Tamandua tetradactyla: one gene and its partner. The main gene of each other region encodes a partner of the protein of the gene in region 2 in a complex. Links are inferred from orthologs where the notes say so. Each region holds a gene or a part of one and is shown on either strand. Other genes may lie near its edges. The genes, in order: SSU72 and SYMPK.

The links.
Region 1: the proteins of SYMPK (region 2) and SSU72 are in contact, whole or in part, in a crystal structure (PDB 4H3K), measured with the Homo sapiens proteins. The link is inferred for Tamandua tetradactyla from reciprocal best matches to the Homo sapiens genes SYMPK and SSU72. Residues at the interface, in NP_004810.2 of Homo sapiens: Val123, Lys127, Leu131, Gln135, Asp175, Asn176, Asp177, Gly178, Thr181, His182, Lys185, Glu188, Pro204, Arg205, Arg206, Gln207, Ser250, Ile251, Thr254, Thr255, Asn262, Ala290, Ser292, Gln293, Ser295, Ser296, Lys299, Asn300, Leu303, His304; in NP_054907.1 of Homo sapiens: Glu113, Tyr116, Asp117, Val120, Asn124, Glu127, Gln128, Glu129, Thr130, Cys131, Gln132, Pro133, His135, Asp167, Glu169, Asn170, Asp173, Gln177, Glu180, Thr186, Phe187, Leu188, His189, Thr190, Val191, Phe193.

What each region holds. Positions count from the first base shown.
Region 1 is NC_135328.1:223,385,886-223,393,985, reverse strand, and holds the start of SSU72 (RNA polymerase II subunit A C-terminal domain phosphatase SSU72), read right to left. Parts: upstream 3,049-8,100; 5' UTR 2,856-3,048; coding exon 2,776-2,855; intron 1-2,775. UniProt on the Homo sapiens protein: Protein phosphatase that catalyzes the dephosphorylation of the C-terminal domain of RNA polymerase II. Plays a role in RNA processing and termination. Plays a role in pre-mRNA polyadenylation via its interaction with SYMPK.
Region 2 is NC_135342.1:15,201,610-15,209,170, reverse strand, and holds the start of SYMPK (symplekin), read right to left. Parts: upstream 3,175-7,561; 5' UTR 3,055-3,174; intron 872-3,054; exon of another isoform or gene 783-871; intron 1-782. Other genes in the region: FOXA3 (hepatocyte nuclear factor 3-gamma), read left to right, coding at 4,116-4,184. UniProt on the Homo sapiens protein: Scaffold protein that functions as a component of a multimolecular complex involved in histone mRNA 3'-end processing. Specific component of the tight junction (TJ) plaque, but might not be an exclusively junctional component. May have a house-keeping rule.

The DNA of each region.
Region 1 (8,100 bases), on a different chromosome or scaffold from region 2:
GATAAAATAAAAAAAGGATTTCTGATGGACCAACTACGCATGTTCACTTAACTACATTCCTTCTGGTCTATTTCATTCAAGTTTTCTTTTGCATACGTTACGTAGTTTTAGTTGTAACTAAACTGCACGCACAATTTTCCAGCTTTTCCCTTATGATGAGCATTTTCCTACGTTTTTTATAATCATTTTTAAGGCCTATACAAGTCTCTAAATTTGACTTTTTATAAATTCTCCTAGCTTCTAACAGAAAACTATCTTATATTACCTAAAGATGCTTTTAAAAGCCTGTAAATAATCCAAATAGGAGAAAAAGCAGATAAGTGAATAGGTAGTTTTCCAAAATGAAAATCACATGTGATATTTCAATCTTAATAGCAATTTTAGAGCTAAAGCAAGGGTGAGATCCTTTTTACCCCACCAGTCTGCAAAGATAAAAATAATGCCCAGGTTATGAGGAAATGGAAACTCTGTACTTTTCTGGAATGCAGTTAACAAATTGCACGAAAATGTAGAACATGTCAGCCTTTTAACTCAGCAACTCCACTTTTAGGAAGTGACCCCAAGGAAATAATCAGAAGAGGGTGTTGTAAAGATATTTATACACCACCAGGATGTTGACACTTTTAAGACTGAAAAGTAGGGAACAGCCTACTTATGGGGGATTAGTTACAAAATTAATGGCTGCTTAGGGCTCCTCTGGATCACTGTGCCATAGTTTCTGACCACTCAATTATTTGCTATGAATAAACAGATTAAAAAAATATGTTCCTAGTATTAAGTGAAGAGATTACAAAACAGTACTTTGATTCCCCATAAGTGCACATGTGCTTAAGAAAGATAGCCAGAAGTATACCAAAAATGGTATCCTACAAGTAATCTTTATCTTCTAGCGTATTTTCAACAGTAATTTTTGTAGAAGTAAATATCTTTTTAATTAAAATAAGCTATTTCAACAGGAAAACACTCTCCAAATATAAGCAACTGAGAAAGTAGAGATGCCTAAGATAACAGGACTTCACAGCACAATGACAGCATTACTCTAAACTTACCTCCTTTTGCCTCACTCTAAGTCTGCTTTTTAGGAGTAAGCTTGGAAGACAGTAAAGCAGGTAGGAGGACACCTAAGAATCCCCTCTTGGTGATTACTTGGAAGGTAATACGCTCTGCGCCCCCATTCCACAAGGGACCCAATGCTGTGCTTGCTACAGCCACTTTCAACTGAACAAGGACTTATCTTGCAGTGAAAGACCCAGGGAAGGCTCAGATTGGCATGCCTTTAAAAGTCACTAAACCCGATTTCATTTTAACAAAGTTGTGAAACGTAAAAATTAAAACTTTGTTTTGTAAGATTTCACTCTTATTTGGCTGCACAGAGCTTTAGAGTAGAAACAGAATCACTAGCCAGACTGGCAGAATGAGGTCTCAGATTACTTGTCATTTCAATTAGAGAAAACAATTTTGTTTCCCTTGGGTAATTTTGTTTTCTAGGGATGCAAACCTTGTGCTTACATTTATAAAACTTTTAAGGGTACTCTCTACAGACAATTGCTGTTTTGGGCTCAGACCCATCACAATTCTAGCAGAACACTCACTTTTCAAAACAACCTTCACACTGATTTGTTAGGTTCAAAGCGTATCACACCCTACAAAACAAATAACATCAAGCAAACACAGTGAACAGTGTGGTAAATGTTAGGAAGAAAAATCCAACCATAAAGTAACTCAGAGTTAGCAGATATAATCAGGGAAAGCTTACATAAATCAACATCCCCATTCATAAAAACAAGGGGGGGGGGGGGGTGGCGAGATTCTAATTTTCCCCGAGGTGCCTAATACCCCATTCGTAGCTGGAAAGTGGTAAGAAAAGCGAGGCACTGTTTTCCTTTAAAGTCCACGTGTGGAAACATAGGGAAAAAAGGGGGTTTCAACTTTGTTCTACTATGGAAGTTGATGTGTACATTTTAACTGTAATGAAAGTGTTTTAGAAAGAAGAAACTTTATCAAACGGGATTCAACTTTTATTTAACACATACAACACAGAGGTCACAAAGGATGAATACTGAAATATACCGAATTCACTTGTGTTCCAGAAATTCCCGATTGAAGGCTTTTATGTGGGGAGGGGTGTGCGATACTTGAAAATGTAGATAGTAGAAAATCCACAAATTCATATGGTGAACAGATTCTTTCCTGCTCTTTTTAAAGAGTCATTCTACCTGAGGCTACGTTGTGTAAGCAATCGTTGGACACTAGTATCGCTCAGACCTATACCTTGCTCTTGACATTCACCGCATCACGTGGAGTATTTTAGAGGAGCCTGCTAGTTCTCAGATAGGCAGAAATGCATGCAAATTGGCTGCAGCCACCACCAGCTTTGCGGATTTACTGGGAACTTTAGAGTTCCGCGACACGTGAACATGTCGGTAAAGAAGCTAATTTCCCGACAGGCTAGCACACGTGCGGGACACGGCGCGCTGGCGAGCGGAGCGGGGCGCGGCGGCCAGAGCGCTGGTGGACTCCTCGCTACGCTCGGCGCCGCGGGAGCCAACGAGCGCGTCAATGAAGCCGCCCCGCGCCGTCGCGAGCCGCGGGCCCTTCGGGCCTCCTTCGGCCGAGGCGCCCTGCCCGGCCAGCGGCAGGCCTGCGGGGTGGCCAGAGCCGGGGCTGCCGCCCGCCGTCCGGCACGGGCCCCCGGGCAAGGGGTGGGCGGCGGGAGGGACAGCCGGTCGGCCGGCGTCCGACGGGGCGCCGGGCTAGGGCGGAGGCTCCAACTACCTGAGGATGTTGTGCGCCTCCATGCTCCGGTTCTGGTTGCTCGAGCACACCACCGCCACCCGCAGCGGCGACGACGGCATGGCGGTGGCGGCACCGTCCGCGGCGGCCGCGACTCTCCCACGCCGGGACTCCCACCCAGCGGTGGCGCTTCCGCGCGAGCAAAATGGCGGCAGCGCAGGCGGAAGTCAGCGATGCGGAAGCGGCGGGGACGTAGCGCGTCAGGACGCGCGGGGCCGGCGGCCTCCTCGCGCCGGCCCAGAGCGCCCGACCCACGGGCAGAGGTGACGCCCCGCCCTTTGGGAGCGCCGGCTTCCCGGGCAGCGCGCCGCTGTCGGCGAGCAGAGGCGTGCTGCGTCCGGCGTCCGCTCCGGGCGTGCGCAGCCGAAGGCCGCGGTCCGCTCAGTGGCTCGCGGGCGTCGAGCCCGGAGCTCCGCGCCGGCGCTCGTGGCGTCACAACGCCCCGCCGTGGTCGCTGGGAGTGACGATGAAGCGCTGCGCCGGCGCCCCTGGCGTCACATCGCCCCCGCCGTGGTCGCTGGGAGTGACGATGAAGCGCTGCGCCGGCGCCCCTGGCGTCACATCGCCCCCGCCGTGGTCGCTGGGAGTGACGATGAAGCGCTGCGCCGGCGCCCCTGGCGTCACATCGCCCCCGCCGTGGTCGCTGGGAGTGACGTTAAAGCGCTGCGCCGGCGCCCCTGGCATCACATCGCCCCCGCCCGCGCAGGCAGTGCCTCCCTAGGCGTCGCGCGGCGTCCGTGACGTCACAGCGTCCCGTCGCCGTCTTCGCCGCGAGGGAGCGAGGTTGGGGTGCTGGTCAGTGTCCTGCCTGCGTTGCCCGCTCTCCTCACGCCGCGCGCCTGAGCCTAGACGCCGCGCCTGCCCGCCTTCTCCGTCGCCTTCCCGCCACGCCAGTCAGGGCCCCAGCGTCCGCTGGCGACCTCGGACGTCGTCGCCCGGCTGCCGGAAGTGATTCCTAGCATGGACTCTCCGAAGCATTAGGAAACAAAGCGCCGTGAGGAGGGCGGGCCTGTGAGAGACGTCCCGGGCTGGAGCGGATGGGCTGCGGCCTGCCGGTGGGCTTGTTGGGAGGCACCGCAGGCTCGCGAGAGCTTGCGGCCCTGGTTCCGTGGGACGGCTCCGCGGTGTGCGCTTCTCGACAGCCACGTCCAGCTGCCGGACGCAGGCGGGCAGCGAGGGGTGTTCGGCTGTGCGGGTGCAACCGAGGGGAGAGGGGCTAGGGACTGGCGACGAGCCTCCGCGGCATTGGAACTGGATGAGACGAGGATTGAGAACAGGAGGAGGTCGCGGCCGGGGCTGTGCGCGCTGAGTCGTCGATCGCAGCGGAGTGGAAGAGTTGTCGCTGGAGCAAAGGGGTGGTCGCGTGGGATGCCGGAAGCGGGATGGGAAGGTAGCCTGTAGGCTAGGTGTGACAGAGTCTTGAATGGAAGACGGCTCCCTGACACAGAACGGTTGGAGTCTCCTGTCGTTGTGCCCATGGAGAAAAAGGCTGAACACCAGGTGCTAAAGATCTCTAGGGACCCAGGGGGCATGGTCAGGGGTCAGTGGATGACTGCAACAAGAAAGCATGTGCTTCAAAGGACATGGAGGATAGATCAATGAGAAGGAATGAGGGCAACTTCCCCGCCTGCTGCATACACAGTAGTATTTCTTATAAGAGAGATCATACGCTATTTGTTCTTATGGTCTGGCATATTTCACCCAGTGTAATGTCTTTAATATTCATCCACTTTGTAGCATGTTCTAACATTTCTAATTTAAGCTGAAATTCCATTGTATGGTTAAACTACATTTTGTTTATCCATTTATCTGTTGGTGGACTCCTCCATACCTTCTTTTTTTTAACCTTTGCACGTGCTGCTTCCACAACTCAAGTTCCCTTCCTAACACCCATCTTCCCCGGGCTGCTTTGCCCGGCCAGTTATCACAGCACAAAAGTCACTGCCTCCAAGAAAGCTTCTTCCCTCCCTCCTCTGTTTCCCTCACTGACTTGGGGCCTTTCCCAGCTCTCCAACTTGCTTCTGTGGTTCTGAACACTAGTGTTCTGCTCCTCGGCCCCACCCCATTCCCAGAATGAATTCTAAAAGGCTAGGGACCTTTTCATCATCATGTGCAATGGCTGCTATATGCTGAAATGGCTTTTTAGAGCCGCTGTCCCTGTGAAGACACTGAGTACTCGTGGAGCACATAGATGAGGGAGAAGGTGCCAGGGAAAGCACCAAGGGTCCTTGCAGGTAATACATGGCCATTCTGCGGAGACGTGGGGGGGTCATGGGTGTTTCATCGCATCTGAGGCCCAGATTTATTCTTCCATTATGATGTGGGGACCCAAGGTAAAATAATATTATGGCTAGTCTAGAATCTCTGGGATCTCCAGTTTCAGCTGACTCTATCCTTTAGGTCCTTTCCACAGTCCTGGGTCTGTGGCCTTCATAAGAAGGAATAACCACCTTTGAATGTACATTCCCAATAAAATGTTGAGACCACACAGCGAACTGCCATAAAGGAAATTTGGCATTTTCAACAAATAGAATCACAAATTCCTCAAGAGCTGGGAATAATAGAACAATCTGAACACTTTAAAACAAGCTTTTGGTCCATGAGTAGTAAAGACAACTTTTTTAACAGCTCCAATGAGCTATACTTGACATATAATAAACGACATTTTAAAGCGTACAATTTGACAAGTCTGTTTGTATCTGTGAAACAATTCTAACATTGGAGGATGAACATACCACTCAGAAATTCTCTCATAACCTTCTATAATTCCTCCCTGCCCTCCCCCTGATCTGAATCCCACTTTCCCAGGCAACCGTTGATCTGATTGCTGCCACTATTTATTAGTTTGCATTTTCTAGAATTTTATATAAACAGAATCAAACAGTATATACTCTTTTTTGATCAGGCTACTATCACTTCAGCATAATTATTATGCGATCCATCCAAGTAGCATGTATCAATGGTTGGTTCTTGTTTTTTATTGCTGAGAAATAATCCATTCTATGATAGGCCGCAGTTTTTCCATGCACACTGTTTATTACTCACCCGTGGAAGGACATTTGGATTTCCAGTTTTGGATTTTATACATGAAGCTCCTGTGACCACCCATATGCAAGTCTTTGTATGGACAGAGGCTTTCATGTCTCCTTGGTTAATAGCCAGGAGGGAAACGCCCGGATGATATGTTTTTGTGTATGCTGAACTCCTCAAGAGACTGCCAAAATGTTCTCCAAAGGAGATGTACTATTTTACGTTCCCGCCAGCACTGTATGAGCATTCTAGTTGTTTCGTGTCCTTGCCAACCCTTGGTATGATTAGTCTTTTTACTTTTAGACACTTTAAGGTGTGGTATCTCATTGTGCGCTCTTTTGTTTGTTTCTTTTTCTTTATTAGAGAAGTTGTGAGCTTTCAGAACAGTCATGCATTAACTACAAGAACCCTATATCATACCTTATTATTTTTTATTAATTAAAAAAATTAACAACAAAACATTAAGATACCATTCCATTCTACATATACAATCAGTAATTCTTAATATCATTACAGTTGCATATTCATCATTTCTTAGAACATTTGTATCGATTTAGAAAAAGAAAAAGGCAACAGAAAAAGAAATAAAACGATAAGAGAGAAAAAAAAGATTATACATACATACCATACCCCTTACCCCTTGCTTTCATTTACCACTAGCATTTCAAACTAAATTTATTTTAACATTTGTTCCCCCTATTATTTATTTTTATTCCATATATTCTACCCTTCTGTTGCTATAGTAGTTAAAAGGAGCATCAGACACAAGGTTTTCACATTCAAAGAGTCTCATTGTGAAAGCTCTATCATTGTTGAATCATCATCAAGAAACATGGCTACTGGAACACAGCTCTACATTTTCAGGCAGTTCCCTCCAGCCTTTCCATTATGTCTTGATTAACAAGGTGATATCTACTTAATGCATAAGAATAACCTCCAGGATAACCTCTGGACTCGGGAGTCTCTCAGCCATTGACACTTTGTCTCGTTTCACTCTTCCCCGTTTTGGTCAAGGTTTTCTTAATCCCTTGATGCTGAGTCTCAGCTCATTCCAGGGTTTTTCTCAATCCCTTGATGCTGAGTCTCAGCTAATTCTAGGATTTCTATCCCATGTTGCCAGAAAGGTCCACACCCCTGGGAGTCATGTCCCACGTAGACAGGGGGAGGGTGGTGAGTTTGCCTGTTGTGTTGGCTGAGAGAGGCCACATCTGAGCAACAGTCTATTTTTAAAAATAGCTGTTCTAATGGGTGTGAAATGGTGTCTCATCGTATTTTGATTTGCATTTCTCTGACAGCTCATCTTTTCATGTATTGGCCAGTTGTATATCTTCTTTGGAGAGATATCTATTCAAGTCTTTTGCCCATTTTTAAATTGAGTTGTTTGTTGTTAAAGGATTTTTTTCCCTATATTCTGGATATTAAGCCTTTATCAGATGTGTGATTTCCAAATATTTTCTCTCTTTGTGGAGGTTATCAGTTTACTTTCATGAAAACTCCTTTGAGGCACAAAAGTTTTGTTTTGTTTTTTGATGTGGTCTCGTTTATCCATTTTTTTCTTTTGTTACTTGTGCTTTGAGTGGAAAATCTAAGAAACCATTGCCTGACACAAGGTCCTGAAGATGCTTCCCCACGGTTTCTTCTAGGTGTTTGATAGTTCGAGCTTTTATATTTAAGTCTCATTGTGGTTTTAATTTATATAGGGACCAATGAAGTGGTGCATATCGTCATATGCATATTTTCCATCTGAACATTCTCCTTGAAGGGAAGCGTCTCTTCAAATCTTTTGTACATCTTTCATTGGTTATTTGCCTTCTTATTGTTAACCTAGTATTTTCTCTCAGTCCGTAGCTTGTCTTTTCATTCTCTTATCAATGCCTTTTGAAGGACAGAAGTTTTTAATTTTTACAAAGTCCAGCTTACCAATTTGTCTTTTATAGGTTGTTGCCACAACATCTGATAGGAAAAAATACACTAGATGGGATGAATTGTACATTAGACATTGCAGAAGAGAAGATGTGTTAAATTGAAGACAAAGTAATAGAACCCATGCAAAAGGAGACAGAAAGAAAGAAGGGGTAAGAATGTGAGCAGTGTGCCAGTGAGCTGCGGGGGAACTTCAGGCAGTCAGATGTGCATGTGATTGGACTCTCCAAAGGAGAGGCGTGCTGGCTGTTTGGGGACTACTCCTGGCCCTGCTCAAGCTTCTGGGATGCTTCCCTGTAATCCTTTTCACTGGGTCTTCTTTTAGCCTCATGTCGTTTCCTCATGCACACGTAC
Region 2 (7,561 bases):
ATTATCACAATGATGAATATGCAACTATGTGATCATACTGTGAATTACTGATTATATATGTAGAACGGAATGATCAAAAGTTACGAATGTTTGCATTTGTTTGGTGTTTTTTGGTATTTTAAAAAAAACTAAAAATTAATGAAAAAAAGGAACTTCATATACTATAGACATGAGCTATTCAATAGATGTTTTCTGAATGAAAATGACAGCCTCCTCCTTACCCTCCTTGCTGCCTGTCACCCCCACATCTTGCTCAGAGTCAAAGCCAAAATCCCCACCAAGACCTAAAAGACCTTATATGATCTGGTCCCTCCAATCTCTGCCCTCATTTCCCACTCTGTCCTCTCAGCTCCAGCCATTCTCGCCTCCTTGCTATTCCCCGAACATGCCAAGCACATCCATTCCTCAATGCCTTGGTGCTTCTTTTCCTTATACCATGAACACTCTCCTCCCCCCAGATCCGAACCCCCTTCCTCATTTTCTTCAGGTCTCCACTCAAATATTTTCAGTGAGGTCTTCCCTGACTACCCTGTTTCAAATTTCAGTTCACTTTTCCTACTTCCCTGTGTTGCTTTACTTTTCCCCATAGGCTTTATTATCAATATACTACATATTTAAAACTTCCATGAGGGCAAAGGCTTTTCTATTTTTTCAAAATTTCCAAACATCACCGCCCCCCACTCCACACCCTGGTAACTTCTAATCTACTTTCTGTCTCTATGAATTTGCCATTTCTACATATTTCATATAAATGAAATTATACAGGATTTGTCCTTACGTGCCTTGCTTATTTCATTTGGCATTTTCAAGGTTCATCCATGTTGTGCCATGTATTGGAATTTCATTCCTTTTACAGCTGAATAATATTCCACTGTATGGAGAGATCAGATTTCCATTATCCATTCATCCACTGATGGACACTTTGGATTGCTACCACCTTTTGGCCACTGTGAATAATGTGATGAACACTGGTGTAGAAACACCTGCTTGAATCCCTGCTTTTAATTCTTTCAGGTATATACCTAAGAGTGGAATTGCCAAGTCATATGGTTAATTTTAATTCAGCTTTCTGAGGAACAGCTATACTGGTTTCCACAGTAGCTGCACCATTTTACACTACGACCAACAATGTATTAGGATTACAATTTCTCAAGTTATTTTCCACATTTTTAGTAATAGCCATCCTTGTTGCTATTTTGATTTGCATTTCTCTAATAGCTAAAAATGCTCAGCATTTTTCATGTTTATTGCCCATTTTTACATTCTCTTTGGTAAAATGTATAAGTCCTTCGTCCATTTTTAAATTGGGCTGTTTGTCTCTTTTTTTGTGGTAGAGTTGTAAGAGTTCTTTATATATTCTGGATATTTAGTCCTCATCATATATATTTGTGACTACTTCCTCCTGTTCTGTAGGATGTCTTTTCACTTTCTTGACAATGTCCTAAGAAGCAAAAATTTTTTCATTTTGATGAAAAATTATTGTTTCTTCTGTCACACGTGTGTTTGGTGTTCTATCTGACACCACTGTGGAATCCAAAGTTGGGAAGATTTGTCCCATGTTATCTTCTAAGAGTTTTATGGTTTTAGCTCTTACATTTAGGTCCTAGATATATTTTAGATTTGTTTTTGTCTAAGGCATGAGGTAGGGAGTCCAACTTCATTATACTGAATGTGAACACCTAGTTTTCCCAGTACCATTTGTTGAAGAGACTATTCTTTCCCCACAGCATGTCCTTGGCATGCTTGTTGAAATTCAAGTGGCTGGAGATACTTTTTTTCTTTTTGGTCGGTTTGCTCATTTTCTATATCCCTGGCATGTAAAACAATGCCTGGCATCCAGTAAGTACTCAATAAATATCTGTTCAGTGAATGCTGACTCCTATCAAAGAGTATTCCCAATCAGTGGGCTCACATCCCCTGCCCTTCGGCCCTGGAACGCTTGAAAAATAGTAACAGCTGTTATTTATTGAACATTTAACATGCAGGGCCCAATTTTTCAACAGTTGTTGGAAGTGATGTCTGTTAATTAGTTTAAACCTCACACAAAAAAACAACCCTCTGTGGTAGGTTCTATTTTAATCTCCATCCTACACATGGGGAAACTGAAGGTCAAGGAGATAAAATCGCTTGACTAAAGGCACACAGCCTGTAAAGTGAAGAAGAGCCAGCAGTGTAGCTGCAGAATCCGTCCTCATCAGCGCTGTCTCTCAGAAAGGAATTGGTTCTCCATCCCTAGGTCAGCTCACAAAAACCCAGGGCCATGGCCACCCATCCACCTAGCAGAACACAGTGAATCTCCTCCTCTACCCACATCATTGCTTCCCCCTCCCTTCCAGTGCAGTCCTCACCGAGTACCACTGCCCTACTCCCATCTGGGAGTATGAGGGCTTCCCCGTACACGCCACAGAGTGGCCCACGGTATATCTTTCATTCATTCAGCAAACATTACTCAGCGTCTCTCGTGCGACCTGAGCTGTGCTGGGTACACACGGGTGACCTAAATATACCCTGTCTCTGCCCTCGTGGAGCTCACGGACACAAACATCATCAGTAGTTACTTAAATAAAGGTCTAATAACACACGTGACATGAAGGAAATGACCAAGGACCTATGAGATCCTTTAACAGGATTGGAGGGCGGGGAGCGAGAAAAGGAGGCTTTTCAGAGGAAGTGATGTTGGCTGAAGGATGAATGGGAGTTAGCTTATATGAATGGGTAAAAGGATGTTAAGGGCAGACAGGCAGCAAATGCAAAAACCCTTAGGGAGGCGCACAGCAAATTTGAGGAACCGACAGGCCAGTGCAGCTTTCAAAGCGTGGGGAGTGAGCAAAGAGGCAGAGACAAGACTGGCGCGGTTGGCGGAGCGGACGCTCCTTGGGGGCCACGTTGGAACTTTGCCCTGAGGGCACTGGGGAACCACGGAAGGGTCCTGAGCAGGGGATGATACTGAGGTCCGGGACGCCCTGCTCCCCTCTCTTCTCTGCGCCCTTCTCCCAGTGTTCTCAGAGTCCCTCCTCCCATCGTCCCCGGGTCCCCACGCCGTTCCCCGCTCACCGCGGCTCCGGCCTCAGTCCCCCTCGCGGCCCCTCAGCAGCGCCTCACACAGACTTCGCTACCGCCATCTTCCGTTCGCCGCCGTGACACTGCGCACGCGCTGCGCACGCAGGGCCGCCGGGAAATGCAGTCCAGACCGCGGCCCGTGTCTGCCCCTGTCTCGTGCGGCGCCCTCGGACTTCCGCCTCCCTCCGGCATTCGCCGGGACGGCCCCTCATTTCCTGTCTCGGAGAGACATACCTTCTGGGAAATGTAGTCCCGTGGCGGAGGCTCGGGGCGGAAAGGGGGGAAGAGGCTTCTGGGAAATGGAGTTCACGGTGGTCCTGAGTCCTTGGACGGCTAGTGTCGCGGGGAGTGGAGAGCCCCGAAGGCGAAGCTCCCTAGGTGTTGAAGGTGGTCTGTTGCCCTAGAGGGATTTGAAAAGAGATCCCTATTTCCTCCATCTTTGGCCTGGACGTTTTACACAGACCGGAGCATTTCCAGTCGTCGGCAGCCCCAATCTACCCTTCGTCCATTGGGAGTGTGGTTTCAAGGACTCTTAAGGGTCCTTACAATCGTATATAGGGACCCCTGGACGCTGCGCCCCCTTCCTCCGGGACTGCCACGCGAGTTTCTGGCTATTCGCCCTTTCATGTCGAGATAATGAAAACCCCTGGTGCAGTAGGGCCCCAGAGTTCTGCCTTCGGGACCCTTCCTATCAGCAATGCCTGTCACCAGTAGCTCACTCCTCAGCCTTCACCTGCTCTCGCGCCCCCGGCTGCGGCTCCCGGCGCCTGAGGTCCTCTCAATCCCGCAGGGGGCGCCCTAGTCCGAGCGCGCCGTCCTGGGGAGGCGGGAGGGGAGCCTGGGGCGGGCGAACGGCGGGGGTGGGGGCGGTACGGGGGGGGGTTGTCCCGGCTATAAAGCGAGGCCACCTCCAGCGGCGCGTTCGGGACGGCGGGGACCCCGGGCGGTCAGACGGGCGGGCGCCGGTCGGAACTCCCGCCATATCCGCTGATAGCTCCGAAGTTCTCGGTTCCCCGGGGCCCGAGCGGGGGCAGGTGGGGGCGCAAGCCCCGGGGATGCTGGGCTCGGTGAAGATGGAAGCCCACGACCTGGCCGAGTGGAGCTACTACCCCGAGGCGGGCGAGGTGTGTCCTCGGGGATGGTGGAGCGGGAAGTGAGGGTTAGAGACCCGGGTTGGGGCTCAAATGGGGGCCGAGGCATGTAGTTTGGGAGCCGTGGAACCAGGGACACGAAGACCAGGTGTGGGAGGCAGGGACAGAGCGTGAGTAAACGGTCTGGACAGGCGAGTTGGGGGGTGAGGGCTTAAATGGGAGTCGAGAAAAGTTTGACAAGGATCTGGTCTTAGCTTAAACGTGAGGGCTGGGTATTCGGGATCCAAAGTCAACAAACCCAAAATAGGAATCAGAGCTCTAAGATAGGGGACAGAGCTGGGAGGTTGGAAATGGGGCTCAAAGTTGAGGGAAATATAGGGACTAAAAGAGTGTAAGTGTTGTCATCAAGGAACTGGAAGCCAGTGCAGCTGTGAGAGGGGAGTGAGGAATGAGCTGAGGGTTAGAATATGGTGTTAAAGATGGGGGTTCTGGGCCCTCTAAGATAGGGTCAGGTATAGGGCTTGGCGCTCCAGGGTAAGAGATGGAGGCACTCAGAGATGAAGCTTCAATGTGGAGGGGTCTGAGATAATAGGCAGGTTAGAGACTAGGAGATGTGGGCATCAGCACTAGTGGGGGTAGTGGGAAATACAGTCTCCTCCCCCTATTCCTCTTCATGATCCTCACCCCGTCCTGGCTGAATTTTAGTACTTTAACTCTTATTAGACACCCTCAGCCGGGACTCCCCTCTTGGGGGCCTTCAGGTTAAACCCCCATCCCCAGCAATCTCCAGCAATTGTTAAGGTTCTCATCCAGTCCCATCTCAGACAAGACCTCTGAGATGAATTTGGGGATGGGGGATTCCAGCTGACAGGAAGTCCTTCCCCAAGTTGAACTCCCATTCCACTTGCTCAAGGACTCCTTAGCACACTTTCTTTATAGTCAATATTGTTTGGTCTGGAGGAGGAGGTCGTGGTGTGAGAGTTATGGGAGTCTGGAGTCTTGGGTTCCTAACCTGAAAGGGGACTATGTGGTTGGAATGGCTGGTTTCTCCAAGGAAAGAGCTGAAACCTGAGGTTACAGGATCCCTGGTGTGCCTTATCCCTGGGTCTGGAGTTTGACACTGTAGGTTGGGATTCCTGGATCCCCTGGCCTGCGAAGGTTAGCCAGGGACCTGGGAGGGCCCAATCCTGGGGCTGTGGAGGGTGAGGTGCACGCAGGGTGAGGAAGGGCCAGCTGGGGAAGGGATTGGGATGGCTGAGAGGGGGAGGCAGGGCGGCCAGAGGTGTCAGTTGTGAAATGGGGAAAACAGAGACTAGGATGGAAGGTGGAGGCTCTTGGACAGTGTGAGGGGGGTGCAGTGAAGGGGTATCCCAGTTGGACCCCTGGAGAGCTGAGTCTGGGGACATGGTTCAAGGAAACCACCTACAAATAAATGTTTTGTGGGCACATTTAAAAAAACTCATGGGTTTCTGGACCGGAGGAGTCAAAATTTGGGCTTCAATCTGAATGGATTCAAGTTTAAGGGACAATGTGTATGGACAATAGATGATTCCAAAATCAAAGAACAGTCTAGAGGTGTTCAAAATAGGAATCAGATCAACACTTGAGGGCATATCTTGAAAGAATTGACTTACAGGGGCCTGGAATTTGTTTGGAGGATACTGTCTGTGGGTGTCTGCAGCCCTTCCATCAGGTGAGCCCAGTTCTTCTCTGGGTCAGAACCATGGGGGTGGAGAAACAGCTGCACACACCCAGCACTATACCCTCTTGTTAGGATAATGTTGACACCCCAGGCTGTCCATTCATCAGGAGAGAACTTGGACAATTGTCACCCTGGGGTATCCCTGTTAACCTCAGGTTCTTACTGATCAGATGGTCCAACTGGTCCCCCATTTTAGAGATGGAAAAACCCAAGCCTAGAGGAATACTGTGATGTCAGGGCTAGGACTGGGGCTGGATACCAGGCTTCTTTCTGATTTCACACTACCTCCCTCTGCTCTTTGTCATACCCTCCCCCAGAGACAATAAGGAAATGAAAGGTGAGAAATTCCAGCCTCCTGGAGAGGGGGTGCAGGTCCCCGGAGGGCTTCCCCCCAATCTCAACCCCGCCCTGGTGGCAGGGAGATCCGGCTCAGACCCGGACACTGGGGGTTCATCCCTGCCCTGGGGCGTGGGAAAGCCTAGGGTGGATTAGAGCAGCTGGAGTGCTTGAGGTCAGACCTCCAGAAGGACTTCCGGCTGGGTGGGGAGCCAGGAAAGGAGTGCCCTGGGGTCCTACTCTGTTTTACTCTGCAATACCAGACAGCTCGACTGAGTTGGGAGAAGTGAGAGTGGGAAAGGCATTTGGGAATCCTTCCCCAACTTTCTGATCCCATTGAATCCATCACCTTCTCCTTTCATCTCTTTCCTTAATCTGGGGAGGGGGCAGAACCAGCCGCCCCAGTGGGAAGACATACAGACAAACACAAGAGATAACAGCAACCTGGAAGTGGGAAGGAGAGAAGGGAGGGTTTCCTCTCAACTGGGGTTGGGTGTCACCTATCTCTGACTCCCTGAATGGTCCTGGGCAAGTCTTTTTTCTTTTTGACCCTGGGGGCCTGCAAATGCTTACAGTGCAGAGGATGAGATGAGATCCACAGTCTCACAGCAAAGGTGGCATCAGCCAGAGATTTCACAGCACCCCAGTGCCATGGGACTCCAGCCAGTGGTGGGACCACCTCCCTCCCAGGCTCCCTGGGGAAGGGAGCGGGGCAGAGAAAGATGCAGGTGGAGGAGGGGGGAGAGTAGATGGAAGGGAGGAGGTGAGAGGGGTGGATAGCTGCCGAAAGAGAGAAACCACCACGTGAGATACTTCATATTCTCCAGGTTTAACTTATTCAGTGTGTCTTTCCCGCCAGACTATCAACTCCAAGAAGGCAGACATTTCTGTCTGTCTTGGTCACTGCTTTTATAGCATGATACAGATCACAAGTTCTGGAACCAGGCTGCCTAGATTCAGAATCCCAATTCTGCCCCTGGACCTCAGCTTCCTCAACTATAAAATGGGATTATAAAAGCAGCCTTCCCTCAAGATATAAGGAAGATTAAAGGAGACAGCCCCAGCAAAGTAACTGGCAGAGCAGTGGCCAAGAACCCTTTGTTGATTAAGAAGAAAGAATATATAGAGGGTTATTTAGAGAGAGAGAGAGAAGTATCTATTATACTTTATAGTGCTAAGATTCACATTTTCTGCCATTTCAATACCTCTGAGAATGGGATATATTTTACAGTAGATGGTGTCTAACAATTGTAATTGACAGTGTTTTATTTTTCCATTCTTATTGATACATAAAATAATGGTACAACCAACAAACGACAATTTCTCTTAGACATGATGATATGTAGTAAATAGATGTGAATTCTAATATTCA